Linked DNA regions of Oryzias latipes. The protein of the gene in region 1 purifies or fractionates together with the protein of each later gene. This does not show direct contact. Links are inferred from orthologs where the notes say so. Each region holds a gene or a part of one and is shown on either strand. Other genes may lie near its edges.

What was found.
Region 2: the proteins of spast (region 1) and nup160 purify together in Homo sapiens (affinity purification with mass spectrometry; 3 studies listed by BioGRID and IntAct, with this or other methods). This does not show direct contact. The link is inferred for Oryzias latipes from reciprocal best matches to the Homo sapiens genes SPAST and NUP160.
Region 3: the proteins of spast (region 1) and nup107 purify together in Homo sapiens (affinity purification with mass spectrometry; 3 studies listed by BioGRID and IntAct, counting the BioPlex papers as one, with this or other methods). This does not show direct contact. The link is inferred for Oryzias latipes from reciprocal best matches to the Homo sapiens genes SPAST and NUP107.
Region 4: the proteins of spast (region 1) and nup133 purify together in Homo sapiens (affinity purification with mass spectrometry; 3 studies listed by BioGRID and IntAct, counting the BioPlex papers as one, with this or other methods). This does not show direct contact. The link is inferred for Oryzias latipes from reciprocal best matches to the Homo sapiens genes SPAST and NUP133.
Region 5: the proteins of spast (region 1) and nup85 purify together in Homo sapiens (affinity purification with mass spectrometry; 3 studies listed by BioGRID and IntAct, counting the BioPlex papers as one, with this or other methods). This does not show direct contact. The link is inferred for Oryzias latipes from reciprocal best matches to the Homo sapiens genes SPAST and NUP85.
Region 6: the proteins of spast (region 1) and nup98 purify together in Homo sapiens (affinity purification with mass spectrometry; 3 studies listed by BioGRID and IntAct, counting the BioPlex papers as one, with this or other methods). This does not show direct contact. The link is inferred for Oryzias latipes from reciprocal best matches to the Homo sapiens genes SPAST and NUP98.
Region 7: the proteins of spast (region 1) and nup43 purify together in Homo sapiens (affinity purification with mass spectrometry; 3 studies listed by BioGRID and IntAct, counting the BioPlex papers as one, with this or other methods). This does not show direct contact. The link is inferred for Oryzias latipes from reciprocal best matches to the Homo sapiens genes SPAST and NUP43.

What each region holds. Positions count from the first base shown.
Region 1 is NC_019873.2:27,910,701-27,915,027, forward strand, and holds the start of spast (spastin), read left to right. Parts: upstream 1-1,395; 5' UTR 1,396-1,586; coding exon 1,587-1,707; intron 1,708-1,779; coding exon 1,780-1,863; intron 1,864-1,952; coding exon 1,953-2,036; intron 2,037-4,182; coding exon 4,183-4,327. UniProt on the Homo sapiens protein: ATP-dependent microtubule severing protein that specifically recognizes and cuts microtubules that are polyglutamylated.
Region 2 is NC_019864.2:4,331,094-4,334,778, forward strand, and holds part of nup160 (nuclear pore complex protein Nup160), read left to right. Parts: intron 1-2,806; coding exon 2,807-2,915; intron 2,916-3,624; coding exon 3,625-3,685. UniProt on the Homo sapiens protein: Functions as a component of the nuclear pore complex (NPC). Involved in poly(A)+ RNA transport.
Region 3 is NC_019881.2:22,230,523-22,234,759, reverse strand, and holds the start of nup107 (nuclear pore complex protein Nup107), read left to right. Parts: upstream 1-1,310; 5' UTR 1,311-1,405; coding exon 1,406-1,413; intron 1,414-3,100; coding exon 3,101-3,180; intron 3,181-3,279; coding exon 3,280-3,375; intron 3,376-3,444; coding exon 3,445-3,539; intron 3,540-3,617; coding exon 3,618-3,753; intron 3,754-4,013; coding exon 4,014-4,117; intron 4,118-4,190; coding exon 4,191-4,237. UniProt on the Homo sapiens protein: Plays a role in the nuclear pore complex (NPC) assembly and/or maintenance. Required for the assembly of peripheral proteins into the NPC. May anchor NUP62 to the NPC. Involved in nephrogenesis.
Region 4 is NC_019859.2:2,092,394-2,096,751, reverse strand, and holds the start of nup133 (nuclear pore complex protein Nup133), read left to right. Parts: upstream 1-1,529; 5' UTR 1,530-1,675; coding exon 1,676-1,803; intron 1,804-2,993; coding exon 2,994-3,109; intron 3,110-3,198; coding exon 3,199-3,302; intron 3,303-3,390; coding exon 3,391-3,624; intron 3,625-3,719; coding exon 3,720-3,890; intron 3,891-3,967; coding exon 3,968-4,123; intron 4,124-4,358. Other genes in the region: taf5l (TAF5-like RNA polymerase II p300/CBP-associated factor-associated factor 65 kDa subunit 5L), read right to left, coding at 16-154. UniProt on the Homo sapiens protein: Involved in poly(A)+ RNA transport. Involved in nephrogenesis.
Region 5 is NC_019866.2:13,020,832-13,025,069, reverse strand, and holds the start of nup85 (nuclear pore complex protein Nup85), read left to right. Parts: upstream 1-1,402; 5' UTR 1,403-2,085; coding exon 2,086-2,118; intron 2,119-4,095; coding exon 4,096-4,186; intron 4,187-4,238. Other genes in the region: sumo2 (small ubiquitin-related modifier 2), read right to left, coding at 1,162-1,182. UniProt on the Homo sapiens protein: Essential component of the nuclear pore complex (NPC) that seems to be required for NPC assembly and maintenance. As part of the NPC Nup107-160 subcomplex plays a role in RNA export and in tethering NUP96/Nup98 and NUP153 to the nucleus.
Region 6 is NC_019872.2:23,882,469-23,886,153, reverse strand, and holds part of nup98 (nuclear pore complex protein Nup98-Nup96), read left to right. Parts: intron 1-442; coding exon 443-538; intron 539-1,458; coding exon 1,459-1,644; intron 1,645-1,856; coding exon 1,857-1,996; intron 1,997-2,203; coding exon 2,204-2,311; intron 2,312-2,420; coding exon 2,421-2,601; intron 2,602-3,232; coding exon 3,233-3,396; intron 3,397-3,471; coding exon 3,472-3,609; intron 3,610-3,685. UniProt on the Homo sapiens protein: Plays a role in the nuclear pore complex (NPC) assembly and/or maintenance. NUP98 and NUP96 are involved in the bidirectional transport across the NPC. May anchor NUP153 and TPR to the NPC.
Region 7 is NC_019882.2:17,710,168-17,714,415, forward strand, and holds the start of nup43 (nucleoporin Nup43), read left to right. Parts: upstream 1-1,303; 5' UTR 1,304-1,421; coding exon 1,422-1,541; intron 1,542-1,722; coding exon 1,723-1,845; intron 1,846-2,761; coding exon 2,762-2,839; intron 2,840-2,922; coding exon 2,923-3,085; intron 3,086-3,155; coding exon 3,156-3,291; intron 3,292-3,386; coding exon 3,387-3,538; intron 3,539-3,616; coding exon 3,617-3,733; intron 3,734-4,248. Other genes in the region: pcmt1 (protein-L-isoaspartate(D-aspartate) O-methyltransferase), read right to left, coding at 905-1,082. UniProt on the Homo sapiens protein: Component of the Nup107-160 subcomplex of the nuclear pore complex (NPC). The Nup107-160 subcomplex is required for the assembly of a functional NPC.

The DNA.
Region 1 (4,327 bases):
AACTTAACTGTCTCGCTGTTTTTATCAGCAAATATGAAAAGATATAAATCAAAAATAGATTGTTGTCCAACCCAGACCAACACGGACCAAATGTATTAAAGCTAGACTGTTGTCACTGCCAGAATCAGAAGATTACTGAACGCTGTGAAGAACCAGGTAAAAGAAAACTGTAATCAAAGTGACGTCCTGCGTTTTGATTGGTGGTTTCACTGCAGGAGGCGGAGCCAGTCCCGGGAGGGTTGCCATACAATTTCTTGAACGAGAAGAAAAATACATTTATATTTATTACAATATTTAAATATACATATATATTAATTTTATTTATTAAAAAATAATTTATCTATCACATTTTATTTATTTATTACAGAAACATTTTTTTCATTACAGATTTCTTAGACAAAAAACACTACTCATTACAAATTTGTACTTATTACATATGTTTTAATAAAAAAAATATTACTCACTTTTTGATCATTACAAAAACATTTAAAAGATAAAAAACAACACTGAATTTATATCTACCATGATGTTTTTTTTGTTAAACAAAAAAACTACAACAATAAGTTTCTTTACTTTTAGAAAGAAAATGTTCACATTATTCAAATTACGTATTATTTAATTTTGCCTTTAACTGCTTTTTTCCCCACATACTCTTTAAATCAATTAACTTTTCTTCCCTATCTGTAACTTAAAATACAGACTATTAAAGCTCTACTTCATCTAAGCTGTCTTTAACATTTTTATTCTTACTTTTATTTGGAGGTTGTTCAACATTTTTTCAGACCCTGAACAGAAATGTTTTAGTGTAATGTTAATTCAAACATTTTTATAGCAATACTTGTCAAATATAATAAAAAAAATTGTTAAATTCAATTTTATTGGTTTATTATGAGCATTAAAATTAAAGGTATAAGATAATAAAAATCACAAAACATGTCCAACCTGTTTCAGATATAAAGTCATACATTGATTGGAAAATGAAAAATATTAACAAAGATGAAAGAAAATGATGCCATCTTCTTAACAGGTTAAATTCCCTTAATTATAAATGGACTTAATTGCAATAATTTTTGCAGTACACAAAATAAATATTTGATCAAATAAATTTAATGATTGTCAAATAGTTTTATTTGTTGTCTTTCAATGGAGTTAAAATTAAACCGGCAATATTCCGTATCTTTTTTTGGTTGTATATTGGCTGTAGGGTGTTTATATTTAAAGTCGCCTTGAACTTCAAAAATGACATTTTGACATTTCCAAAAATTCTAGGATTTCTAGAAGGGAATTTGTGTGTTATCAATCAAATAGTTAAAAAGAGAATAAAGTTGCTGCAATCTTACGCCGCTCCAGCAGGGGGCGGTGTGGTCAGCGGCAGTGCCTTGAAAACACTTCTCAGAACGAGGGGGCGGAGCTTTCTCCCAGACAGGCGGAAGCTAGCGATGTTTCGGTTTTGTTGTTACCGGATTCGAGTTACAAAAACAAACAGTACCGTGTAAAGTTGAGCTTTTGGGTTAGATGCGGCCCTGTTAGCGCAAACCAACTGCGTTTGAACGGAGAGCAGGGGAGCAGCCGGAACAGTCAGAGTCATGTCTGCTAAAATACAACAACAAGCCAGGGGTAAAGACAGCGGCGAACTGATCAAAAACCACCACAAGCAGGCGTTTGAGTTTATATCGAAGGCACTGAGGATCGACGAAGACGACACAGGTTTGTTTACGGTGGTCGTGTCTCGACAACGACTCTTGTCGACCGTCTGTGACCCGCCTTGTGTGACGACAGGAGAGAAGGGAGATGCTGTGCCGTGGTACAAGAAGGGGATTGCTGAGCTAGAAAGGGGCATTGCTGTGGAGATAACTGTCCAAGGTATCCGTCCGTGTAGCAACCGGAAGGAGGATAGACGTGAACTTAAAACCACTTTACAGCTTTTTTGTGTGCTTTTTTTCTCTCTCCAGGAGAACAGTATGATCGAGCTAAGAGACTACAGGATAAAATGGTAGCCAATCTTACCATGGCTAGAGACAGGCTGGCTTTGTTGGGTAAGTTGCCCTGAGGTCCGAAGTTTACAGTTTAAGTGCAGATAAGAAAAAAAGTCCACTTTGTTCTGAAGCCTGGCTCATTTCAGGTCACATACTAAGGTCAAAATAGTCATTAGACTAATATGTCTCCTGTATTTGATGGATTTGTACAAAATGCAATAGTACTTTCCATGTAAACAAATACAGAGACACAATGGAGAAAAACAAAAATAAAATAAAAGCAACACAAAGAGAACCAGGGGGGTATTCCAGAATGCAGGTTATGCTAGTTACCACGGTAAGTTTGAGGCTAAGGAAGCGTAAAACCTCAGCTTTCGGTTCCAGAAATGGAGGTATGTTTCAGAGTATGTCAAGTTGCCATAGCAACTTATGCTCTGAACATAACCTGGTGTGGAGCAGGTTAAGTTGAAGGTTAGTTTGTTTTCACAGAGGTGAAGCAGCATGGCATTCTTTCTGCACCAGGAGTGAGAGGATGATGAGGTTATTTACCAGCCCTACTGCCAACTGGTGTAGTAAAGTTGGAGAAATGGCAAATAATTTAATGCTATATAGCTATTTTCTTTTTTTTAAAAATGAGTATATCTGTCGGCTCAAACTTAGACATATGAGATATCAAGAAGTATAATAAATTAAGATGGAAAAACAATTAATTGAATTGGAGTAAAATTACATTTAGTTAGATAAATATGTACATTTGAGTTTTATAAAATTGAGCTTGATAGATGTAAAAAATTAGGTTGAATAATTTTAACTTAATTACTTGTTACCAATTGAAGTAATTCATTTAAGTTGGATAAGTTATATATATATTTGCGTCACAATGAAAATAGAAATGAGATAGAAACTTGTGTGTTTACTTTGTCCGTTCTTTTTCTCCAAGCAGAATCTCTCTATTACTTTTTTGATGGACGTATAATCTTCATACGCCGTCATTAAAATCTCAGACTCCGTTTCACTGAAGTGTAGCGCTCTCTTTTTTTTCTCCACGCGTTTCCATGGTGACTCCGTAAATCGGCGATCCATTGAGAATGTCTTTATGTACCTCCATTAACCCAGGGTTACCAATTCCAGCGTAATTATGCTAACTCATATCCACTCTTTTGGAACCGACATACCCAGAGTAAGCAAGTTCAGGTGGATTTCAGCCAGAGTTCAGGCTTAAAGTCAGGGTAGTTTAAACATGCTTCCTGGAATACCCCCCTGTTAGATATGTGTTAATACACTATTATCTATTGTTGTTGTGTGAAAATCACAACAGAACAAAAAAAAAAGAATCAATAAGGCTGAAAAAAGACATATTCATGTTTTGCTGAGAGCTCAGACCAGGAAGCTTGTGGCCCCGCCCAGCGCATTTTCTACGTCACAAATACGATCGTTTGCTTACAGGATTTTTTTCGTCTGCTGCTGCTTCGCAACAATTTGCATAAAGAAATTCTTAACTTTCTTTAGAAAAATGCCACCAGAACATGTTCAAAACCCCAAAAAGTCTTGTTGCTCTAGTTGGGTGACGATGCTTCTGGTCAAACACCAGACATTTGCACTTTGCACACACCTATTATCATGATTTCATTCACTTCTTTGGGATTGGCTTCAGGTTAACCTCTGTCTGACTTCCATTCTCTGAACAGAAATGTTCCTTCAATAATATGTTGTGTTTGTTTTTCTCAAAAACCGTCCTAAACATTAATAAACGTTTTATTGTCCTTCTCAGAGTAACGGCGAACATTCAGCAGATAAATGGATAAAAAATGAAATTCAATCAGGATTTTACCAATAAATATCTCACAATGAACCAAATGTCCCCATCAATGCTTTTGCAGCAAAAGTTGATGATTATTTATCAGTTTTAACCAACACTGCAATTTTATAGATCCTTTCTTTTTTCCACACAGTGAATTGTGTTTTTTGCAGGAATAAATGAGCGACCGCTACTTTTCATCCACTCAGTTCAGCTTTTCTTTCACACTTTCTACACGTTTTTACATAAATGTTTTTGTCAGTTTCCCCCCCAATTATTTCCCTTCCATGCCAATAATTACTTGATCGATACGTTTTTTAATTGGGTGTCATTTAATGGTATTTTGCTTGTTTGGATTCTCTGCTGTTAACAAATCCTCGCTAACTTCTGTTGGGTTTTTGTTTCCAGAGAAGACGTTGGCTTCTAAAAAGAAGAGCAGTCCACCTCCAGCCACTGGTTTGTCTCAAACTAAACCCAAAAGCAGCACTTCATCAGCAGGAGGATCCACAAACTTCAAGCCCTCTTCTGTCGCTAGACCCCAATCCAGAACCAC
Region 2 (3,685 bases), on another chromosome or scaffold:
TGATAGCTCGTACCCCTAGAGCTGCGGGACGGATCGCAGTCTTAAATCTCCCACACATACCGCTCATGTACCCCCCCCCCCCCCCTTCCCATCAAACATAAAGCTGTAAATCCGCGCTCCGCCGGTCCACTTCGCTAGTTAAGTGCAGGAGCGGACCACTTCTTTTCTATTTTGCTTGTTACTTTTTCTGTTAAAGTCACTTCCCTCAGTTTATACTGGATCATTGCGGATTAACCATTAGTTGGGAAATAAAATGAAAAAAGCAAAATAACGAATAGCAGTTATATAAGAACGAAAAATGTAAAAATACCCCCCCCCCCCCCCCCGACGATGTCATCGTCCATCCCGATGGTTGACAGCAAACATCGTCAACGGCCAAATTAGGGGACATCGCCCAACCCTAAATTCAATACAAAACAATGTTAAACAGCAACAACGAAGGCACAAGCCAGTGGGTTATTATTACATTTGATTATAAATCTGACACCGTCACTGAAGAGAGACTGAAGCATGTCAGAGATGTGGAAGACATGGCAGGAATAGATAGGAATATGTTGGATGGAGTAGTGGGTATAATTAGTAGTATGGACAGCAAGATATTTAATGAATGCATTGAAGATGAAACTGTATCCACTAAGCTTTAAGATGAATGTCAAAGAATCAAAGGCAACTCCAAATACCTGAATCTCAGACTCAAATGCAGTAGAATGTTAAACTACTTAATTTTGTTTTTCTTTACAACACTGTAAGCAGTAAGTATTTCTAGTTAGCTGAATGATCTCAGTTATTTGATTCGTTAAATGGTTCAAGCTGCCATTAGATTGTTTTAACACATTTAAGGTTTATGATTTATTGCGCTATTTGCCGTTAGAAGCACCATGAAAACTTCTTAACTAGTGTTACCTACTACACTGCAGTGCTCTCTTCAAAACATCTGAAACAGACTAGAGCAGATTTAAGTTTGATATGGTCTATTTTCAGTCATTGAAAAGTGTAGAAATAAGTGATGTCACCAGAATGCACCAAATTGCACCATATTAAAAGTTTCCGGGGGGGCATGCCCCCGGACCCCCCTAAAGTTGCAAGCACCTGCGGAGCGGCGGGTCTCGCTGTGCGCGGTGTCGGGCCAGTAACTTTCAGGCAGGGCCAGTAAGTTTCAAAAACTACTGGCCCTGTGGGCCAGTGCAAATTTCTGGGCTATGTCAACCCCTGGTCTGAGATTCAGGTATTTGGAGTTGCCTTTGATTCTTTGACATTCATCTTAAAGCTTAGTGGATACAGTTTCATCTTCAATGCATTCATTAAATATCTTGCTGTCCATACTACTAATTATACCCACTACTCCATCCAACATATTCCTATCTATTCCTGCCATGTCTTCCACATCTCTGACATGCTTCAGTCTCTCTTCAGTGACAGTGTTGGATTTATGATCATCGCGGTGAAAAACCACCAGGGGGCGCGCTGATATGTGTGTCAGTTCAAATATATCTGCCTAAAATGTAATAATAACCCACTGGCTTATTCCTTCGTTGTTGCTGTTTAACATTGTTTAGTATTGAATTGTTACATTCAATAAAGTTTGAAAAAAAAAAGTAGTGAGCGCGTGCCGCGTGGTGCTCGGCAGTGAAAGCCGCGCGCGCAGGCGGGAGAGGAGGAGAAGTGATCAAAGGTTTCCCATAGAAACCCTTGAAGTCTGAACACAGGACTAGCAGAAAAAGTGAATTATAAAGACGAGGTAAATCTACACGTTTTCGCAAAATATACTTTATTGAAAAAGATGAAAAATGTATTAATTGTTAGATATTTTAGTGGCCCGAGCGGACAAGTAAAAAATAAAGTCTTGTGGTCCGTACTGCTCGAAAAACAGGACCGGGCCAGCGGACAAATGGCTATGTCGAGCCCTGGAACTTGACGGACCAGAACACAACTGAACTGTGGCTACTGATCTGTACAGATCACAGTTCAGCCGTGATCCATTGCATCCCTGTTGGGTTTGAAGGCCTTAGGCCGAGCGTTAGTAAGGTGGGACAGTGTGAGGTGGGTGAGACGGCGTCAGAGTAAGATGAGCGTCAGGTGAGCGTGACACATTGCCGTCTTCCTGATGGATCATTTGAGCTCATTTGTTCTTTTGCATGTTTGAATGGATCCTCAGGATATGCAGCCACCGTTGATGGTGGGGTCTGCTGCCCTCTGAAAACAGTACAGCCAGCTCTGCTGAAGGGCTATCAGGGGTTCGATTCCCTCTGAGGAAGACAGTGAGATTAGGAGGTGTTGCTTTCTTTTTATTAAAATGGCTTTTATATTTTTGTTTTTCATTAGTCGTATATGTAAGTAGGCCACATGGGAAATGTTGCAGCAATGCTGAATCCGTCTGTGGTGTTCTGCCGGGTGCCTCTCTTTCTCAGAGTCTCTGTGCTGAGGGTCTTTGAAGGTGGTGGTGGGGTTTCACCATGTCGACATGGCAACAGGGTGGAACACGAAAGGAAAAAACGGGAAAGGAAGCTTTACCGTTTTTGTGAATGTTTATTTAATAGAAAAAACACCCTGTAGCCGACTGCAGTGTCTGAGCAGACATGGCCCTTGAGCAAGCTTTGGATGTTTGTGTGAAACCCTTTAAAGGAGAGAAGCTGTCTGTTTTTCAGCAGTGTCTGTCTGAAAACAGAAGGAACCTTACATGATCCTCTTTATAAAAGACTGGCGTTCCTCTTGGTAGTTTGACAGCCTGGTGCGCTCCTGACAGCTTCTCCTGGGCCAACCTGGAGGTGAAGCAGCATCTGACCCCACCTGTGTTTCCTGTTTGCAGGTGTTAGCTGTCTCCCTGGGGGGTTGAAGGTTCCCGACAACGCCGGAGCCTTTCATTATGAGGAGAGCGGCAACCTGTCGACTGTCACCAGCAACAGATTTGTCCACTGGTGAGCATCTCTGTCTCTACTGATGGGTGTGGGTGGGGGGTGTTTATACAGGGGGGTGTCTCTGTGGTCTAGTCCTTCCCATTGACTGTATCTGAGAACTGGAACCATTGTGACCTCCTCCATAGAAAATGATTTACTCTAACCAAATGAAGTGAATTCAGTCACCATTTTTTGGAGATGCAGAGGCCACCATTGCCGCGGCCATCATCAAACCAGAAATTTGTCAGTAAGCAATCAGGAGTAAGCTTGTTGAAAGGCCACGCCCCTACCATTTGCAATCACGCTATTCAAAATTAGCTGAACCTTTAAAACGTTGGATGTGGGGCCAGTAGGCACTACCTACCTTTACTGAGGCATCTGATTGGCCTTTTTAACTTGAATAACTTCTAATACAGAAAGATTATGATTTAAAAAAAAGATTATCAAGAAGATGTTAAAAAATGAATCGGAGCAAGAATGGTTATTCTGACCAATAGAATGACTGAGGAACAGCTGTTTATTTCTCTATAGAAGTCTATGGGATTTTGGCTTCTTGGAGCCAGCAGGTACTTCCTGTTTGGAATGCCACAGGGGAGGGGTCACTCAGTCCCAGATTTTCCTGGTCAAGACCTCTTAGTTTGCTGGTCCTAGACTGAACTGTGATGGGGATGTCCATGCTGTCCACGCATGATCAGTCAGGGTCTCTGGGTTACGCTCACACTCGTTGCAGGATCACGTCGGGAGACACGGTGCAGCTGGTGGAGGAGTCTCTGGACATCAACCTCCTGAAC
Region 3 (4,237 bases), on another chromosome or scaffold:
GTTCTAGCTTCTTTTTAAACCAGAACCTGCGTCATTGATCAAACAAATGCAGAAGAACGCGGTTCTTTTATTCTGAAATCCCGCACCAGAGTCTGATCTGCGGGGTCCAGGTTCAAATCTGCGACCATCTGATGAATGACCTCTCTGTGCGGCCGTCGCCTCCAATCCTGCCACGCAGTGGGAAAAGTTTACCTGGGGTCTCCATCTTCCCCCGGGTCAAACAGACCCTCTGGCAGCGCTGGGGATCCGCCGGCGGGGGTCGATCCGGCCTCTTAGGTGACCAGGACCCGCTGCTGACCGTGAGAATCTCCTTTTCCGGTTCTCTGAACGGCGGAGATCTCCTTTTAACCGGACCACGAAGCGTCCGGTGTTCCTGCTTTAGCTGAGCTGCGTGAATCGATCACGCAACAGCGGCAGCTAACGGAGCGGAGGGCAGAGCACAAAGATGGTCTATTAGGAAAGACGTCTCACTCCGACCACAGCCGGGAATTGACAAGGGAAAAAACTCCTAATACATCCTTTTAAAAGCGTTTATCCGACACAATTCAACTTCTATGTAGGGAACATAAAGTGTATCTTAATGTATAAAAATATTTTTCAACATGTTTTTTTAAACGGAATTTTCAAATAATACACAATCTTTGAAATCAGACGTATTGAAACATTTTCCTTCCTGACATTACAATGTTCACTCTTGTTAAAAAAGACCCTTTTTTCTAAAAACTTCCTGTTTATTTAATATCAAAATTAGGCACAACTTTAAAGTCATTTAAAAAAAATGCAGGACAACTATTTGATTTGATTTAGATCAAATGCATCATATCATATGGTTAATGTGTTCTTTGTCATTCTGTTCTCTGGATGGAAGTTCAAATAACATCAGCTATTAAAATACAAGTTTAAACAGTTTGGAGTGTTTAAGAAAACCTTTTGTAACATAAAATCTGTACAACACACAAGGAACTCTGTCTTTCAGCAGCTGAACAGGCCAAAGAAATGAATGACTGAATAATCACTTAAAATGTAAATATGACACAATTACACAAATGTGAACTTTTTTAATCAAATAGTGGATCTGAATATCTATTTAACTAAATGAATAAATCTAAAAAACACAAAAAGGCAAATTGATACACAAAATTACAAATAATAGGATTACTGAAAGAAAAGTGAAAATTAAAAGATATGTATATGCTTAATTAATATTTAAATTAATATTTATATTGTCTTTTTTATTTCGTCCTCTCAAAAATAGATGTAATCTAATGGTGAACTCTAGGGGGCAGCAGTCAGCTGACAGGCCTGACAGATTTACCTTAAATTCAAAGGCAGATTCGTGAGAAGAGGCGAAGAAGTAAAAGACCAGAGAAGAAGAAAACATATCGGAGCGGGAATCGGCTCCAGCATGGACTGGTAAAACATTTTAAATTTTTGTGTCATTAATGTGACCAGCTGTGAAACACTGATACGTTCACATTTGTACGGTTCGATCGGTCAGTTTTTGCGTTTTTGTTGTCTCCGGGAAACGTTACAAGAGTCAGATTAGCAAACGATGCTAGCATCAAGCTAATCAGTCAGCTGAATGTCATGACGTCTGTTTAGTCAAAAATAATGAATGATAGGTTTAAAGACCCACTTAGGTTAAATTCTGATCTATTTTCAAAGCGTTCCCAGTGTTTTTATTTTTTTGATTGTGCTGTTTTTTTAGCCAAAAGACAAACACTTGTCGTTCTTGGACACAGTTATACTAGTAGTAGTATGTTCTTCTGCAGAGCGGCAGGAGTTAATTAAACTCCCTCAACTCAGGTGTACTAATGATTAGTACACCTGAGTTACACCTAACCCCACCCCCTTCCCGTCACCCATATTTGAGATCTCTCAGTTGTACAGTTTTGATCCAGATTCCAGCTCAGACGTGGAAAACAAAAACGTTCATGGATCAATTTTTGTCGGCAAATGGATTAAATTCAATTCAATTCAATTTTAAGGGGAAAACTCCCATAAAAACGGATTCCGGAAAAACGAAGAAACCTCAGGGGTGTCCACATGAAGGAGGGATCCTCCCCCAGGACGGACAGGCGATTTACCAGAACTCTTAGAGAAGAATTTACTTATCTAAATCTACAACTACACATTTAAAGTCCAGCAGACGAGCTTCATCCAGCCGTGGTTGGGGGGACAGTCAAAGGCGCGAGTCGAGTCAGAGGCAGGATCCACAGCCAGGTGTAGGAGCAGGAGCAAAGGCGAGGTAGACGGTCAGCAATTGGAGCACGGATGATCCAACTGGAGTCTGGAAGCACTCCCACTCCCCAGGAGGGGAGAGGAAAAGAGTGACAATACATGAATCACACTGCACCAAACAGAGGCATGGAGAACTAAATGATGAATAATGATCAAGAATAGAGGAGAGGAAGGGTAGAAGTAGAAGAGAAAAGAGGACAGAACCCCAGTGCACCATAGTTACCCCAGCTTCAACTTCTAGCAGCCTTTTAAAAGAAAGTTATTAAGTTTAATTTAAACAAATTAACATTAAGTTAAATAATCTCTGAATACTAACTAGTCTGACAATAAGCCTGTCCAAAGAGGAATGTTTTAAGTCTAACTTTGACTGTAGAAACTGAGTCGGCCTCTCTTCCATGAGCTGGGAGTTTATTCCATAAGACAGGGGCTTGGTGGCTAAACGCTCTACCTCCAACCGTACTTTTACTAATTCTAGGAACCACAAGCAGTCCTGCGTTTTGCGAACGAAGTGTTCTGATTGGGTGGTAAGGAACTATGAGATCTTTGATTTAGGACGGGGCCATTCCATGTAAGGCCTTATAGGTTAACAGGAGGATCTTGAACTTGATTCTATAATCAACTGGGAGCCAATGGAGCGAAACCAACACAGGAGTGATGTGATCTCTTGCATTCTCTTGCATTGGATGCATCAGAATGGAACTTGTGGCCCCAAACGGCATATTTGCTACATGATATTTATTATCTTTTTCATTTGGCGCTTTTTCGTCTGTTCCTGATTCACATTGAAATGAAACTAGGAGAAAATTGGCTTTTCAAGTAAGATAATGTATGTTTCTGTTTTGATCTCTCTGACCTCCAGGGGTCAGAATGAGCTTCCGTCTCCGGTGGTTCGAGAGGAGGAGGTGACGGTCGCAGCCAGGAGGAGGAAGAAAGTGGCTTGTATCCTCCAGCTTCAGTAGCTGTGTGTGTTTCTGTGCGTCTGTGTGTACAGTTATATGTCGGGACAGTTTCTTTGTTTCTCCTGACTCTTGGCCTCAGTCCCGTCACCCAGTGGTGGCAGCCCCATCGCTTCTGCTGCAACACCAGCCCGCCCCCACCTGATCAACACTCCTGCCTCGTTGTTCAGGCAGGCCGGTGAGATGCTCACATTCATGTCAGATCTGAGGCTTTGAGCTATTCCTACCTCATGTCTCTGCCTCTCAGTCACCCCCAGGGTTCCAGCCACTTCTTCTCTTTTGGTTCCTGGAGGTCGAACGCCTCGATTCATGCACACGCCCAGAAACGCGCTCAGCAGTCTGGTGAGACCCTGATTAATGTGCAGGGACAGCCGGGATCAGCTGCAGTCTGTAACTCAAACCCGTCCATTGCGTATCTAGAATTTGGACGACAGCGATTGGACCAACAGCTTTTACACCTCGCCCGTGTCTGGACTGGAGAACACCAGCTTCTTCAAAGACGATGCTGCCAACCTGAGCTCAGCCCTGCTCAAGGAGGACGATCCAGGAGATGCAGGTGAGGAAAACAAACCACTTTCATGCCTTCACATCACACGCCAATCGGGTGTCAAATTCGCTGCTCGAAGCTTGTCCTAAAATGTGTTTTTAAACCTGATGTGAAATTATGATGTGATGACAGTAAAAGACTGAATAATTGATGAGAAACGAAAAAGCCTCATTGTTGTTTGAGCAGCATCTCCAGGTACATTTCCCTCTAAAGAAGAAAGCGTATCATTTTTTAATAACCAACCTCTCCTGACTTTGCTTTCTCTGCAGCAGCTGCAAGTCTTTTCCCAGAATTCCTTGCCTCCTTTCTGAAGCACTCTTCCTCTGCGGTGTTTGACCTGTTGGAGGATTATCAGAGCCTCTGCCAGGAGAAGGTAGAGTAGAGCGATGCCTTTGAGCAGATCAGGTTCTGGACGTCACGCTGAGCGGCTCTGCGTCATGTTTTAGGTGAACGTTCTCCAGTCTGTGGTTCTGAGAGCCGGTCAGAACAGTAA
Region 4 (4,358 bases), on another chromosome or scaffold:
GGGCAGAAAGCTCACCTGTCAGGCTGGCAGCCATCTCCTCTGGAGACTGAGACAGTTTGGCTCCTTTCAAAGAGCCGTCGGTGTCCACATACTGCCGCCTCTTCAGGTACTGGGTCACAGCGTACTGGATCTGCTCAGTCCGGACCCTCTTCATGGCCTGAAAAGTCCACAAACAACTTTTGGGATATTTGTTTTAATCCAGTCAATTATAAAATGATGAGGGACTTGAGAGTCAGTTTTTGTGGAAGATGATGTTTATTTACAGCAGCAAAGCCCCCAACAGTTCCAGTGGCTAAATATTTACCAAATCAATATTTAAATTCGTGAGAACTGACTGAAAATTCTGATCTTGGTTTTAAAAAATCGGAAGCATAAAGACTAAATAATCCGGTGGTTACTCTGGAGGATTGCACTAAAAAACTGAGCTAGCCGGTCAATTTAGCATTAGCCAGTAGGTGGCTCTTAATAGTGACGGGCTTTTTCGTCACTAACAGCTAAAAATGCTACTCACTGCATATCTTTTTGTCCCGTTCCGTGAGCAGATAATTCTTTAACGATGGTCCGGTGTTCCCGTTTGCCGTTGGTCCGCCAAAACTACGCCGCTGAATTACAGTGGCGCCCCATCGTGGATACCCGCCTATCTTCTCCCCGTTCTTGCATCCGAAATGCTAAACTAGCTAGCCGCTATGTATCTTCGCTCCATTGCTTCTGCCTGGCGGTGACAAACTAATAAATCGAAGATACATGGATCTTGTTTCTAAATTCTTGTTTTTAAAGTCAACCTTCTACAAAGGTTACTATTATATGATTCCCTTTAACTTCAGGCTCTGATTTGCAACAATCTTGTTCTCTACCTTTAATTAAAATATATATAAATATATATATATTTTTTTTTTGTGGTTTCAGAATATACATATGTGGGCAAAATACTTTTTAACCAATAAAGTGAAAGAAATCTCATTCAAACTAATCCATAAATTCTATCCAACCAAACTATATCTGCAAAGGTTCAAAGAAGATATTGATGTTGCCTGCTCTTTTTGTCAAGAACACCCTGAAGATGCTGTACATTTATTTTGGTCATGTCCCTTCTCCACTACTTCTTGGTCTAAAGTTTGTCATTTCATTTCCGCCCACATTGACCCAGACTTTCGCCTGTACTTAGAAAATGTTATGTTTGGCATCACCCACTGTCCATCTCATAAAAAAGAACAGTTGTACTTCATTAACCTTTTGTTGTTTTTATGCAAATGGCACATTCATAAGTCAAAATTTACGAATCATACCCCTCATTTCTCAATCTTTATCAATGAGTTCAAACAATACATTAAGACAATAAGAAACTCTGATAATAAGAACGCCATCAAAACATTAGATCTGTGTGTTAATTTCAATATATATGCATAAAATGTATTAACCCCCTGGCTTGTTCCTTCGTTGTTGTTGTTCACTGTTTAACATTGTTTTGTATTGAATTTTTACATTCAATAAAGTTTGAAAAAAAATACATATGTGGGCGGGACTATAATGACGTATTATTCACGCGACTGTACCGCGCGGTGTTTGGTTCGAGGGATTCAGTTTCTGTTTTTTGCTCTTTTATCGCGTTAATAGCTTTGGAGACAAACTAGTAATACAGTTTCGGAGCTTTTGGGCTGTCAGGGGGGCACAAAGTATGTTTAGCCCCAGAACTGTTCCAGGTTCCGGTCGCCGGCCGCAGGGCCGAACCCCCGGGAGGAAGAGCCTCTCTGGGCCGGCCAACAGCCTGCTGTTCTCCCCGCGCAGGACGCCTCTGTCGGCGAGGTGAGTGGACTGTCCGAAGAAACGGCATTCTGCTTGAAACCCGGCTTTTGATTTTACATTTCATATAGTAATTTAGTTCAATTGACCCGGATTCAAACACTTAAACACAGTTTACTGCTACAGAGGAGACGCACAGGTGGGGGGAAATTCACAATTTGACATTTCTGACTCATTAAGTTCGTTATTTCAGATATTTCAGTCACTGGGCATCAAAACTTTAGATTCCATCAGAGGATTTATGCTTGTTCTTTTTCTTTTGTCACCCCCGAAATGTGTGTTTTTTCTGATTTTAAATGAATGGAAAACATGTCAGAATTATTCAAGACTTTTAGCAAATGTTTCTTTTAAAAGATTTCCCAAAAGTTTTTATATTTAAGCAGATTAATGGCTGGGTTAAAAAATATATATATATTAAGTCAAAACACTTTTTGTCAATTTTCTAATCCATGAATTGTTTTGTAAAATGTAGAAATGCCTTACATTTTTGAAAATAAGACTTATTGTGGTTTAGAAACATTAAATTATGTGCAAAATGTTTTTGTAACGAAAGAAATAGTTTTAAAAATGACACCTTGGAATCTGAACTGTAATAACATTATTATTCTTTTTTGATTTGCTTTAAAATTTAATTGACTTTTGGATTTTAGCATCCTTTTACATTTTTGATATTTCACTTTTACTGATATTTTAAATGGTCCTCATGATTTTTATGTAATATGGAAAAGAAAGCCTTATTTGTCATTATATGTGAAATTTATTGAAATTCAACTACATCTGTTAAATATTTTATAATCAAGTTGTTGTTTTTTAAATAACTTTAAAACATCTCACCCTAACCAGGTACTAAATATTTTCCTTTTTGTTTTTTTTTTGTTTCATTGTTTGTTTTTTGTTATTAATTAGTTTTTAATTTTTCAAACAGAAATGTATTCAACTAATTTAGCTGTTAGTTTTATTCAGCTTTTTTGTGATCAGTTTTTCTATCCGTGTTCTTTGAGTGATAAATAGTTTTTTGTGCTGTAACCCTCAGACTGAGGAATTACGCGTCTATTCGATCAGGAAATGTATTTTTTTTTCTATACTTTCATTTTGGTCTTCATGCAAGACCACAGACTTCTGTGACACATGCGGCGAGCAGAAGGTCCCGCCCAGACTGCTTTGTTTTGATGTGAGGCGTGTTTCTCATGCAGGTCTACTCCCACACGCGTGCAGAGCCACGCAGCCGCAGAAACCATCAACTATGACGTTCAGACATTCGGTTCCTCGCTGCCCGTCAAAGTGATGGAGGCTCTGACCATGGCTGACGGTGAGAGAAGCCTCTTCTCTGCCTGGAGTGGAGGTTTTTTTTGTAATTCAGGGTCATTTTTCTCAGTCTGTTGGTGTTTTCCCCTCCAGCTGATGAGCGCATCTCCGTGAAGGTGAATGAGAGCGGATGGGCCTGGATGGTTTGTGGAGAAAGTCTGATCATATGGAAGATTTGCCAAACCGCCGTCGCAAAGGTGTGACGCACAAACTCGACAACATACTCTGGATGGTTTCAAACCCTTTCTGACTCTGACATGTTGGGTTAAACACTGTTTCCTGCAGTTATCCGTTTGTAAGGAGCTGCAGCTGCCCAGCAGTCAGTACGATTACTCCGCCGACCTCGTGGCCGTGACCTCCGCCGCTCCTCTGGAGACGGCTCTTGTTCAGTCCATCTCTGTCCTGGCGGTGACGGCAGAAGGATCGGCTCGTTTCTGGCCGAGTCTGGCCCATGAGGGAAACTACAAGGAGTCAGATGTGGATCTGGGAGATCTCTGCAACTTTGTTGTTGCCGTCAGAGTAAGAACTCTTTTGTCCTGGTTTGAATCTTTAGCTTCACTCCTGAAACAGACGGATTTTGATGCTCTTTCCTCCACGGCCTGTGCTGCTCTCAGGGTGGAAGCTTCGTTTTGTCGACCGTCAGGAATCAGCTGCTGAGGACGAGTGCCGATTCCTCTGGGAAGCTGCAGCATCGAGCTCTGCAGCAGGGTCAGGGCATGCTGTCCGGCATCGGACGCCGCGTCTCTAGCCTGTTTGGCATCCTGTCCCCGCCAGCCAATGACACTGTGAGCTCCATTAAGAGTCCCTCCATCTTTTTGCAGGAATCCTTGCATGTCTGCCTCACACTGCTGTGTCTGCTCAGCTCCACAGCGTGCTGTGGGTGGAACAAACCAGCTGCCTGTACGCGCTGACCTCCTCCAGCCTGAGCAAGTGGGAGGTGGACGACAGCTCAGAGCGGCACATCTTCAGCTGGGACACCCGCAGAGCTCTGACCGAAAGCATCACCGACTCCATCTGGGTCAGTCAAACCTCCACGCACAGTTCCAGCAGCTGTTATCAGAGCTTCCTAACAGCAATACGTCACGCTGTGCTGCATTGACGCCGAACACGATTCACGTGTCAGATTGGCTGCTTGACGCCTGTGTGGAAGGAGCTACTGTTCAAAGTTTTTAGCCTCGTCGCTTCATGGAAGCATCAACTGAATATCACATTTACTGCAAGACGAGGATGATGCTGAGAGATCAGGTTGATTT
Region 5 (4,238 bases), on another chromosome or scaffold:
CTCTCAGCAGCAGCTTTGTCGGTCCTAGCTACCTCTCCGTGCAAGGCCACTCAAACAGCCTTGGATTCTTCTTCTTCTGTTTTAGCTCCTTCTGCATTTGTACTTCTTTATTTCTTCATACCCTGACTTTCTCGCAGATGAGCTCTGCCTCCGTCTGCCTCTCATCTTCATCTCTGAATAGTTTTCTGACCTCGTTGCTGTTCCCCCGTGGTCATACAGTTCGGCAGGACGCACCTTGAACGTCAGGTGCAGCTCGATGGTTTCTTTCTTTGTTTCAATGCTCAGAGCTTTTCTGACCATTAACACACCTATTGATAGGAACCATTTTTCTTGGGGTTCAACATTCAAAATTTAGAGACTAAGAAAAAAAATTAAGAAGACCTGTCCTCCAATTAAGAAGACCTTTAACTTAAGGAAACACGATCCAAGACACACAACAAGTCACACCTATGTACCTGGATTTAACCATTCTGTTGTACCAGAAAAAAGTTAATTTAATTTATTTATTTACAAAAAAGGTTCGTTTTGTGAGGCAAGTGGGTTGCAATGTTTATCATGCAGATTGTTTGTTCTATAGTTCTTTATGTTTGTCAGAGTGGAAAAATAAAAAGATAAAATACCAGAATTACCAGGGATAGAAACATAATTGTAGGCCGTATGAAAAACAGATGCTAAAAAACACGTATTCATTGTTAAATATTAGTTTCAAGTATTTGAATATTTTATTTTTGGTATCCAGTTGTTATAACCCGTTTTCTTCAACGAGTCAAGCCAAAGTGTTGCAGACTGACTAGAACAGTTTAGTCTAGAGACTAAATACAAACAGTTCGTTTTCTTGTTTATTTTTTCCATTCTGGTGCGTCATTACAAAACACAGACAACTTAATTACCACACAAACACAACGCAAGAAAACCGCAAGATTTATAGAGAACGACACCAGCTGGTTGGCGGGATGTAATCAGCCTAAAAGCGACGTGCGCGCCAGTCCATGCGCGCTCACATACCTTCCGGTCCATCAAAGTAGGTACAGTTGAATCTTATCACTTAACTTTTTTATTTAAAAAAATACGAACAGCACACGCGGGAATGTAAATTCACCTTTAAGATCGGCGATCCAGTTAATTTGTAATAGCATCGTAATTGACAATGGGGTCACTTACCTTTGGTTTTTCATCAGCCATCGTCACTCTTTTGGCGCTTCTCTATGCTACCACACAAAGAATATGAGTGCGCGCACGTACTCGTTCCCGTTTAAATTATTCGGGGAAACGTGCGCGGGCATGTGTCAATGCGCGTTCACTGAACAAGGATTTAATTGGCCGCATGAAGTCACGTGGACTAAAGCGCAGTCTAGTTATGGGCGGGAGACTACCGCCTGCGCGTTACAGAGATACTCGGCTTCACATGCACGCGCACGGCAGAATTTTTCCCTTTTGTTTTTGGTTTAGGTCTATTATATACGAAGGAAATCTGTTCATCGTCACGCCGAAGACTAGTATCAGTGCTGCACGTTTCATAAAGCGCCCATATGATCGGTATTAGATGTACAGCGTGATATATTAGTACTCTCCTTATTTTAACCCCTCATTATAGCCCAGTGGCCATCTTGGTTTTTCTTTCTTTTTTTGTTACAATAAAAAACAGGCACCGACTAAACGACAACATTTACCGATATGGCGATATATTTTCTAAGATAGCTAACTTATATAACGTTTTAATGTATATTAACAATATGATACGATTGTATCTTCCTGATTCTGAGAATATGTTACACGTTTTCGGAATAAAATTACTTCGACTTTTAAATGTATATCGATTCTAAAGATAGTGTTATTTGCTTCAGTCATGTCAGTTTTCTTGACGTAGATTAAAAGTAAAAGAAAGTACTGTACTTGCAAATTTAAAAAAACAAAAAACAAAACAGGCATTAAGTAGGACAGTCCTACATTTGACGCATGCGCGAGATAGTCGTAGAAAAAGAGAGGCGCGCAAGCGTTGCTATATTATAGCACGTGTTAAATGGCATGATTAAGGTGAAAAAGTTCATAGTTTGAAATTTAAAAGGATCTAAAAAGTTTCATCCGATGGAGGAGGTAGACGTTGAACCGACGATAACCGTAAGTCTTTCGTACTATGTAGTTTATTGTTATGCGCTATCGAATAGCAGCTAACAAGTTAGCTAAGCATTTTGAATTTTGTAAATCCTAAAATTCGGAATAAAAAAATACACTAGTAGTTAATGATACAAACACAAAAGTTTATGATGAAATGTTACGGACCGACATTACGAGTTGGAGGTTTCGTAGCTAAAACAATGTCACAGTTGACATGTTCTTGGATATAAAGAAACAAACTTGGAACAATGGTTAGAAAATCAAAATGTAACGTTATTTTTGTCTTCTACGTTTTGTTAAGTTATTTTGTGCTTTGTCAAACAAAGAAAGGTAAGTCTTTTCCTGGACATTTTTGAGTCCAGTCTCTGTCTTAATGTCAAGGTAAATAAATATCCTGTTGCATGTGTCCAATGGATTAAAACTAAGAAAGGCAAAAGAAAACCATAAGAGTGTTGGTTGTAACATTGCAACTAATAGGCAATAAATCGAATGTTGTTTGAAAGCCAGGACATTTTAAAATGATTTTATTTTATTTAAGCTTTGTTTAATAGGGACAGTGCACATTAATGAACATCTACCAAACAATGATTATAGGCGTAAACATGCTGGATTATAGCAATGATGCTAATTTGCATCCCTAGTCCCTAGGCAGGAAACATAAAACAGGACAAAACAAAAGACACAGTCACAGATACAATAAGAACACAAGAAAGTGGTACATTATGAGAGTTAAAAGTCAGTGGTTACAGGACTGGTTTGCTTTCAGCCACTGCTTGAGCTGTGTTTTGAAGGTCTGTAATTATTGACACTCCCTTATGTACAATGGAAGACTGTTCAAGAGTTTACTGGCCTTTACAGAAAGAGCGTTTTGTCCAAAGGCTGTTTTTCTGTGTGGAACCTCACAGTCCCCTCGAGACGAGGCCCTAGTCCTGAGAGCGCTGTGAGACCTTATTTAAAAAAAGTCAGACATGGGAGGCGGAGCAAGTCCATGTAACACCTTGTACATCAAACAAGCGAATTTAAAATTTTTAAAATTCTCAAAGCTCAACAACTTGTACTTTTTCAAGATATTACAAACATGGAATGACATTGGTTTTCTATCTAAGACCTTAAGTGATTGTTTTATAAAGTGATTCTATGGTTTTGCTCGTATTTACACCCGGCAAGGACCAACATGTAATACAGTATTCAATATGTGATAGAATCATTGAATGCAAAAACATTCTAGCAGCTCCAAGTGAATTTTTTTAATATGGCTCTTGAAGCTCAGAGTTGAATCAAGTGTCACACCAAGATACTTAAATTTAGATAGAATTTCTAGTTCCCGTTCTTCCAAAAATATACCTGAATGCTTGATGTCCACTGGTTGCTTAGTGAACATCATACAAACAGTTTTAGTTGTATTTAACAGTAAGCAAGATTTAGAAAGCCATTCATTTACAGGAACCAGAGCTGAGGTAAGAATAGAGGCTGCTTCTTGAATATTTTTTGCGCTAGTGAATATGACAGCATCATCAGCATACATTTGAAATTCAACATTACCACATGTGTTTGGCAGATCATTAATATACATAGAAAACAATAAAGGCCCAAGTATTGATCCCTGTGGTAGACCAACAGGGACATCTAAGAGAGTTGATTTGACACTGTTAATACAATCACACTGTTTTCTGAATTCTGGATATGATTTTATCCACTGAATTGAGTCCATAGAAAAGTTAGACAAAAGAATCTCATGATTCACCGTGTCAAATGCCTTATGATTGTAAAGAACGTACTTTTGCAGGATTTTCAGTAGATATTGATTGAAAGTCTTTTTTTTAAATATAAGGAAACAAAACTTAGTTAGATTGAATCCCAAAAAGCTTTGCTACAAGATAGAAATGGTCAAATAAGCACTTTAGTGATGTTCAATAATGTTCTATTGAATGTTGCAGAGATTATTACAATTGGAAATCTGTGTTATCACTCTCAATACAGAATATTCCTGCACTCAGAAGAGGAAAGCATATGGGCTTTGCATGGGGTCAAGGTAATATCTTTGTCTATGAGACCCTCTTCAAAGCAACAGGTATGTGTTAATTTCAGTTTCAATACTTTCGCAAGTCTTCTTGCTTTGTTTC
Region 6 (3,685 bases), on another chromosome or scaffold:
TGTAAGATATTAATATTTGGTCGCCAATCCCTTGTCTATTACATGCCAAGCACTGCTACAGCTGTGCTTATAAGTCGGATGATATCATCAAATGTGTTATATTATGCATTTCCGTGCATGAAGCATTTTGGTTTTTTTAATTTCACATATGATGCCGCTTTATAAATATTCAAAGAACTGAAAAGTGCTCCCTTTCAACCAAAAGATTTTATGTTCATCAAAATGTTTGTTTTTTTAGATGCACAGCAGTAAGTCACCACACACGACAAACTCACAGCTCTTATACAGTTTTACCAAGTAGTCTAAACTTGACAATGTACAATATAGAACTAAAATGCTGAATATACGTGTTCATGCCAACAAGTAACCAGTCCTTCTTTCAGGTAACTGAAAGCATCGTTTCTGCTGTAACGACTTCCTCTTTTGTTTTGTGTTTCTACAGACACAGGTTTTGGGACAACAGGAGCTTTTGGGACATCTGCATTTGGGGCAACCACCAACACAGGAGGACTGTTTGGCTCCACCCAGAACAAACCTGGTTTGTGTGCTTTCCTTTGGTTTCCTTATACGATGTGTGGGCCATGCTGTAGAATCGGCATCAGAATACTTTTCTTCACAATGAGGGAAAATTGGTTCTTGTTGAGCTAAAGGCTTTAAGTTCAGGAAAAAACAGTTCTGATAAAAGTTTGGGATCTGTACTTTTCTTCTTAAATGTTTTTACAATGGAATATTCATTAGAAGAGCATGATTAACTGACTCATTTCAAGAAAGACATTTTCAAACATAGCAGGTAAAGGCCAAAGGGGCAGCAAAAAAGATGCAGTGTTGGAAGGGGGAACGACTTGGTCAGAGATGCATGATGTTAAAACATGATTCTGAGCCCAAAAAGTCAACAACACAAAATGTGAGGAACAACTCCGGCTAACAAGCTGTTAAAACCGTTCCCATAGTATTGAAACCCTAAAATACATTGGATATTTGCGGACAGACAGACAAACGTTAACTGGAGTGTCACTGGAGCTGGAGGTAGCAGAGATGAAGATGTTGAGGTTCTCTTTGGGAGAGACCAGGATGGATCAGGAATGAATCCATCAGAGGAACAGATTATGGTAGATGTTTGGGAGATGAATGCAGGGAACCAGATGGAGATGGTTTGGACAGGTTTCGAGGAGGAACAGTGAGGATGTTGGTGAAAGGATGATTTAGTCCAGCTGGGACCATCACAGAGATCCCTGGTGTCCAAAAATAAAAGAACGTTCACTTCCAGTGAGGACGTCATCGTTGACCTCCTGACTCTGTCGGTCACACACTTGTCCTCTGAATGCTCTGATGTCAGACTGGCTTAAATCTACAAAGAAAGCGATCTTCTGGCGAGACTTGCCTGACTTTAAAGTTGTCTTCCTGTGTCAACGTGATGAACTGTTTATTCATCAATGCCTGTCCTGCTGCTTCATTCAGGCGGCCTGTTTGGATCCAGCACCTTCAGCCAGCCACCTACTTCCTCCACGAGTACTGGCTTTGGCTTCGGAGCAAACAGCGGCACCTCCACCAACTTGTTTGGAAGCACTCCAACAGGCACCAGTAGTGGACTCTTCTCCCAACCGAACAATGCATTCGGTGCCAACAAACCTGCCACCTTTGGTAGTAAGGATCCTGCAGACTCTTTGTTCTTAGAGGTTCATCCACCCATCTGTTAGACTGAACAGTGGGAGCTGCTGCTGGGAACCATGAAGATGAGAATATTTGAGAAGATCAGTGTTGTTGTCAGAGTAGCATAGTCATCTGTCTACAGCTTTAACTCCCCTCTAACTGCTAGAAACGTACAGGTGCTGAGCTCTCCTTTTTATGTCCCTCAGGCTTTGGAACAAACACCAGCACCGGTGGGCTGTTTGGGTCAACCAATGCCGCCCCCAATCCCTTTGGGGGCTCTAGCTCCATGTTCGGAGGCTCTGGGTTCTCTGCTGCACAGCAGCCAGGAACCACGGTCAAGTTCAATGTGAGTGCAAAGCTCTGCAGGAACTGGTGCATCATGGGTAGTTGTGGAGCTGGATTTCAACAGCCAGTTCTTCATTCATGTTTTCTATATTTTCTTTTTCAAACAGCATTTTATCACAGTTTTGCTTTTTAAAAGCTTTAAAATCAAACTTCACTGATGCGAAATGAACCAAGTGTCTCAGAATGAAAACGGTTTTTGTTTATGCAGCCTCCATCAGGGACTGACACTATGGTGAAAGCAGGTGTGACCACAAGCATCAACACCAAACACCAGTGCATCACGGCCATGAAGGAGTACGAGAACAAGTCCCTGGAGGTGAGTTTGGACAGATCTGTGCCAACGAGGGACAGTGAACCTCTGACCTGAGAAGGGTTGTCTTTTACTCTCAGCTTGAGTTTTGTTTCTGCTTCCTGTGTTCATGTAGGAATTAAGGCTGGAGGATTACCAGGCGGGGAGGAAGGGCCCGACCAACCCGATCGCGGCAGGGACGGGTGGTCTGTTTGGTGCAGCCACCCCCACGTCTAATGCCACAACGGGTCTCTTTGGGCCATCCACCTCCAACAACAGCTTTGCCTTTGGACCGAATAAAACTCCGTTTGTATCCAGTAAGTGATGCTGCACCTCGCTCCAATGTCTGTGAGTGGAGCTGATGCAGAGGGCAAAAATATACATCAGATGATCACCGAAATGATAACACAATCTGGAGGGGCTTGGTGTGCAGACGGGGGATGTAATGAGCTCTAAGCAAAGCACCACACCCCCTCCTCAGTTTGTGTTCAACAACTCAATGACAATTGGCTTAGATGGGTCCAAATTGAATATTTTGTACTACAGATGAAACGATAAGAAATTAGTTTTTAAATCGCTAACATTTATATGGGAAAATTATGCTTTAAAGGCTGAACCTCCTCACCTGAAAACTGTTGGAATAGGTTTCACAGAAATGTCCTGCATCTGTTATGCACATATTCTTAGCTGCCTATCCAGAACAAATTAAATTTCACCAGACAAAATAAAAGGTGCATGAAAACGCCAACCTATGATACATGTATCTGTGTAAATATTCTGTTTTTATTTATTTATGTATCTCCTGTCCTAATTTGCACATGATCAGTTCCCCTCATCTGCATCTTAAGGCGCTGATCAAATCATACCAGGCGTTTTATCCAGATCTCAATCACAAACGTTCAAAGCCCTTCTGGATTTGAAAAATGCTCCGTATTTGTCTCCTGCCAGCGGCGGGTGGGTTCGGGACAACCACTGGGGGTCTGTTCAGCCAGCCCAACCAGCAGACCACCGGCAGCCTCTTCAAACCCTTCGGTGGGTCGACCACGACTCAAAGCTCCACCTTCTCTTTTGGCAACACCAACACCATGGGTCAGCCTAACACCAGCAGCATGGTGAGGGTCCAGGCAGCAGCCAGCGGGTCACTGAGGGTGGTTGGATTTTTCTGAAAAATGTTTGCGATTCTTCAGGGCATGTTCGGAAACACTGCGGCTTCCCAGCCGGGGGGTTTGTTTGGCTTGACGCAGACCAGCACAGCCACAGGATTTGGTACGGGCACTGGATTGTTCGGACAACCCAGCTCAGGATTTGGAACTGCTGGAACGCAGGTAAGAACTAGATCCAAAATGTCTGTCAGAGTAAAGTAGGCTTCCTTATGAACTTCTGACAATAATTTCAGAATTC
Region 7 (4,248 bases), on another chromosome or scaffold:
TCAGCCAGAGGTGGCAGACTGATCAGCATGCCTTCTGCATGTGGTCTGCTTCAATCCAAATGAAGTGTGCTAGTCGGAAGCAAACATGTCTGGACTGAGATAAGCAGATATAGAGACTGATGCCCTCCTAAACACGCAGCTATGGGCAAAAAAGCGAGCAATGATACCCCTGACAGCACAGAGAGTATAAATAGAGCTGGCAAATACTTGACAGTGAATGTTGACGCACACTCAAGTCTGCAAATATCGTATTAAATTCACATATTAGCATTAAATAAGTTGATGTACTGGCTTAAAGGCTTATTATGAACAAAAAGGCTAAGTGTCAAAATGACATTACCATTTATTCCGAGTTGGACTTGGCACTAAGTCGCTCTTTCGATGTTGCTAGCTGCTATCGTGACACAGCAAATGTGAATTTCTGTCTCGTGCAACAGAAGGGTGGTTTCCAGAGTCGAGCTTTACGGTTTAAACTGTTCTCGTCAGTGAAATGACAGCGCAGTGGCCAGTGCAGACAGACATCAATGGATGTGGGCAGGGCACACAGCTAGCGCCGCTGCTAACGCTAGCTACATGCTCCTACATGACGCACATACATAGCTAGCTGGCCGGGCTAACATCACAATACACCCTAAATATTTAATGCAAATATTATGTAATTTGGGTGTTTAGTGCTTTTATTTTGATCTAAAATGACAGAAGCGCGCGCGTGTCCCACGGCGTAACGTGGTTTGGCAAAAAAAAAAAAAGGGGGTGGAGAAACTAGGGGCAACAGTGGTTAACAGTTTAAGCAACCAGCTAGCTACCGCACCTGCGCTAACAAGCACGCGCCCGAAAACAGTTTTCCAGCGTCGCGCGGGTGAATTGCTTGCCGATGCCACCTTAAAAACGCTACAAGACTCACTGCGAAGGTTGGTGACAAGTTCTGCGTGACTGGCTCCTCCAGATTTCCAGGCCATTATTAAGCAGACTTTGCGGAGTAAGTAGACAGCAGCTGTCAGTGCCGCGCCTGCGCCAACAGTTTTCCCGATGAAGCTCGCAACCTCGAGCGGAGACGGCGGAGCGGATACGTCACCAGACATCCAAATGATTTTATTACCGGGCCGCCTTTCACATACACTCCCTTTTAACAAAACACGTACAGTTTAATAAAATACAAACCCAATTAGATACGTACTGAGCCCAGTGTCAGTTTAAAGAGGGAATTCCTCTGTCTCTGCTTTATTGGAATTGTTGGGTAATAAAGAAGTCGGCCGCTAGGGGGAAACAGATTATCTATTAATTTAAAGAAGAATAGCACACTGTGATCTGGTCTTCTCGGGCCACCGTAGTTACGTATGAAGCAGCAGGCGCGTAGTTTCTCGTGTAGTCCGTAAACTGAAAACAACACTTCAAATTTTAACAAAAAGGCTTCAATTTCCATGGAGAGCATAAATGCCAAATATGTGTCTCAGAAAATCAGTAAGACGAGATGGTGTCCGGTTTCCTATTCTTCACTGCAACAACCAGAAGTCTTTGCTACGGGCTCGTGGGACAACGAGGTTAGCTAGTAGTACTACTACTAGCGCAAAACCACACAAATTATTAAGATCGCTTGCTAATTAACTCAATTTTTTTTATTAATTTAAATTATTTAAATACACTTTAAAAAATTGTTTTGATTCATTTGTCGTCGTGATTTAAATGTTCACTGAGTTTAATGTGAAACCCGTTGATTTATAGGACAACAAGGTGTCTATCTGGTCCATTGGAAATCACAACAATTCTGGATTAGAAGACGGATTTGAAGGAGACCCACAAATTTTATGTGAGCACAAACATGGCGGAGATGTTCTGGACCTGCAAGTAAGAAACCCAAAAGCTTCTAATGACGGAATCATCGGTGTTGATGTTTGATCTGTGGAGCCATTTCTTTATTTAGGCCTATAAACAAACTAAATGAAAAATAGAAATGAGCACAAAACCAAAACGAAATTTTAAATGTTCCCTTTTCTGTCATTAAAATTATTCAGCATGTCAAATAAGTGTCAGCAGTTATAAAGTCATAAAGATCCTTCAGAAGCTCACACCCAAATGTTTGATCAATTTGTGTAACTATTTGATTACATTTTTGTTCAATTCTTCTGGATTTTCCCACTTTATTATGTTGGATGGTTCACTCAGATATGTGTGTTTTTAACATGTTTTTGTAGCATTTTTCTCATCATGGAGGACAAAAGGATTTAAGCTTAGCACTGCATTTACGAGGACTTTTTTATTTAAATTGTAATGGATAAGGACCCGGTTTGCGATGCAGCAACTGCCATTGGCGGGCCAAAGTCTCCCTGTTCCGCACGCAGACAAATAGATCCACATCCGTCTTTGTTTTCCTTTGTCTGAGCTGGAATCTAAATCTAAACTGTACGGCAGGTTGTTTTTTTTTCTTGTGCTACGCTAATGTTAGATTGGGGTTGTGAGCGGCTGTTAGGTAGCAGGAAAGCGTGTAAACAAAGGAATGCTGGGAAATCATGGTAGGGTCACTTTCACGCTAACAGTCCCATCCACAACCCAGAAACAAATTTCTAATGAGCTTCTGTTGCTCTGCAGAAATTATGTCTTAAGGAACAACACAGGGTTTTTGATTTTTGCTAAAAACTGCATAATCATAATAAAAAAAACACTGGGAATGTTTTTACAATAGGTTTTAATTTTAAATGATTTTAAATGTGTACATTGTTTGGATAAAGTAATTTTTCTTGTTTTTCTTTGTTTCATGTTTTAGTTCTTGGACCAGGAACGGATGGTCTCAGCGTCATCAACGGGAGCAGTCACTATTTTCCGCTATCATCCAAACACTCATGTACGTTGTTTCTTTTCGGTTTTCTTGAGGAGAAAACAAAATGTCATGTTTAAAAACGGGTTTCCTTTTTGTTTCCTGAACAGACCATTTCAGTTCTGCAGCACTGGGCGAGGGCGCATAGCTACCCTTGTGACAACGCGCCCTGCACCGCCTTGGTCTGCAGCAGCCCGGAGATTGTCACTGTCGGGGAGGACGGCAGGATCGTGGTCTTCAGAGCCGACCAGGAAGGAGCGGTCCGGGTCATCGGTGAGATGAGGACTCGGATGTTACCGCCTCATCAGGAGTCGAGTCTAAAACTGTCCGTTGTGTTTGTTAGAGAATGCAGACAGCAGCACAATTCACGCGGTGACTTACCTGAAGACCACGGAGGTTTTGACGGTGAACTCCATTGGCCAGCTGAAGCTGTGGGACCTCAGGCAGCAAAGCAGCTCCCCATCGCAGATTCTGTCCCTGTAAGAGCTCTGAAATTTGATGTATTTATTATTTTTTTATGTATCTTTATCCTTTCAGAAACACACCTTTACTTGTTTGTCTTTTTTTCCACCAGGTCAGGAGACAGAGCTCCTCTGCACTGCGTTGACAGACATCCCAACCAGCAGCACATCGTAGCCACCGGGGGCCAGGACGGCATGCTCTGTGTGTGGGACGTGAGACAGGGGGGCACGCCCATCTCACTCATGGAGGCACACTCGGCTGAAAGTCAGATCCTTTCTTTATTTCACTTTAAACATATCTCTGGTTCTGTTTCACTAACTTTCCTTTGGATTTCCTCGTCAGTGTGGGAGGTTCGCTTCCACCCCACAAACCCGGATCACCTGTTCACGTGTTCGGAGGACGGCTCGCTGCTGCACTGGGAAACTGCCTCGCATTCCGAGATGCCCTCATTCTTACAAGGCAAGTCGTCATCAGTGAAGAGGCACTCCGATGAAAATTTTGTTTTTTGGTGTTTCCAACATGTTCTTTTCTTTTTTCTGATGATGGAGGCAGTTTGAAAAAAAAAACCCAGCTCGCTGCTCAGAGTTCTTAGCAGCATAATCATAATAAAAAGACCACAGGGAAGGCTTTTACAATGGATCCAAAGATGATTGGAATTGGAACTTTAAAAAGAGAAAGCCATGGATCAGATTTGAAGCTTTTATCTTTATGCATTCTTCTTTCTTTATGTCACTTAAAACACACAGGGTCAAATCAGGATCATCTCAAATTGACTGGAAAACCAGATTTTAAAATTGAAACTCTGAAATACAGCTGTCACTGTTTCGCAAAGGTGGTTTGGCAGAGTTTTAAACCAGATACCCTTCCTGTACTTATTCAGGCTAGTGTTATATGGGGGCGGGGCTTTGAGCCCATTGGTTACCATGACATGATTGATGTTGTGTGATAGAGGTCATGACAATGTCATTTCCACT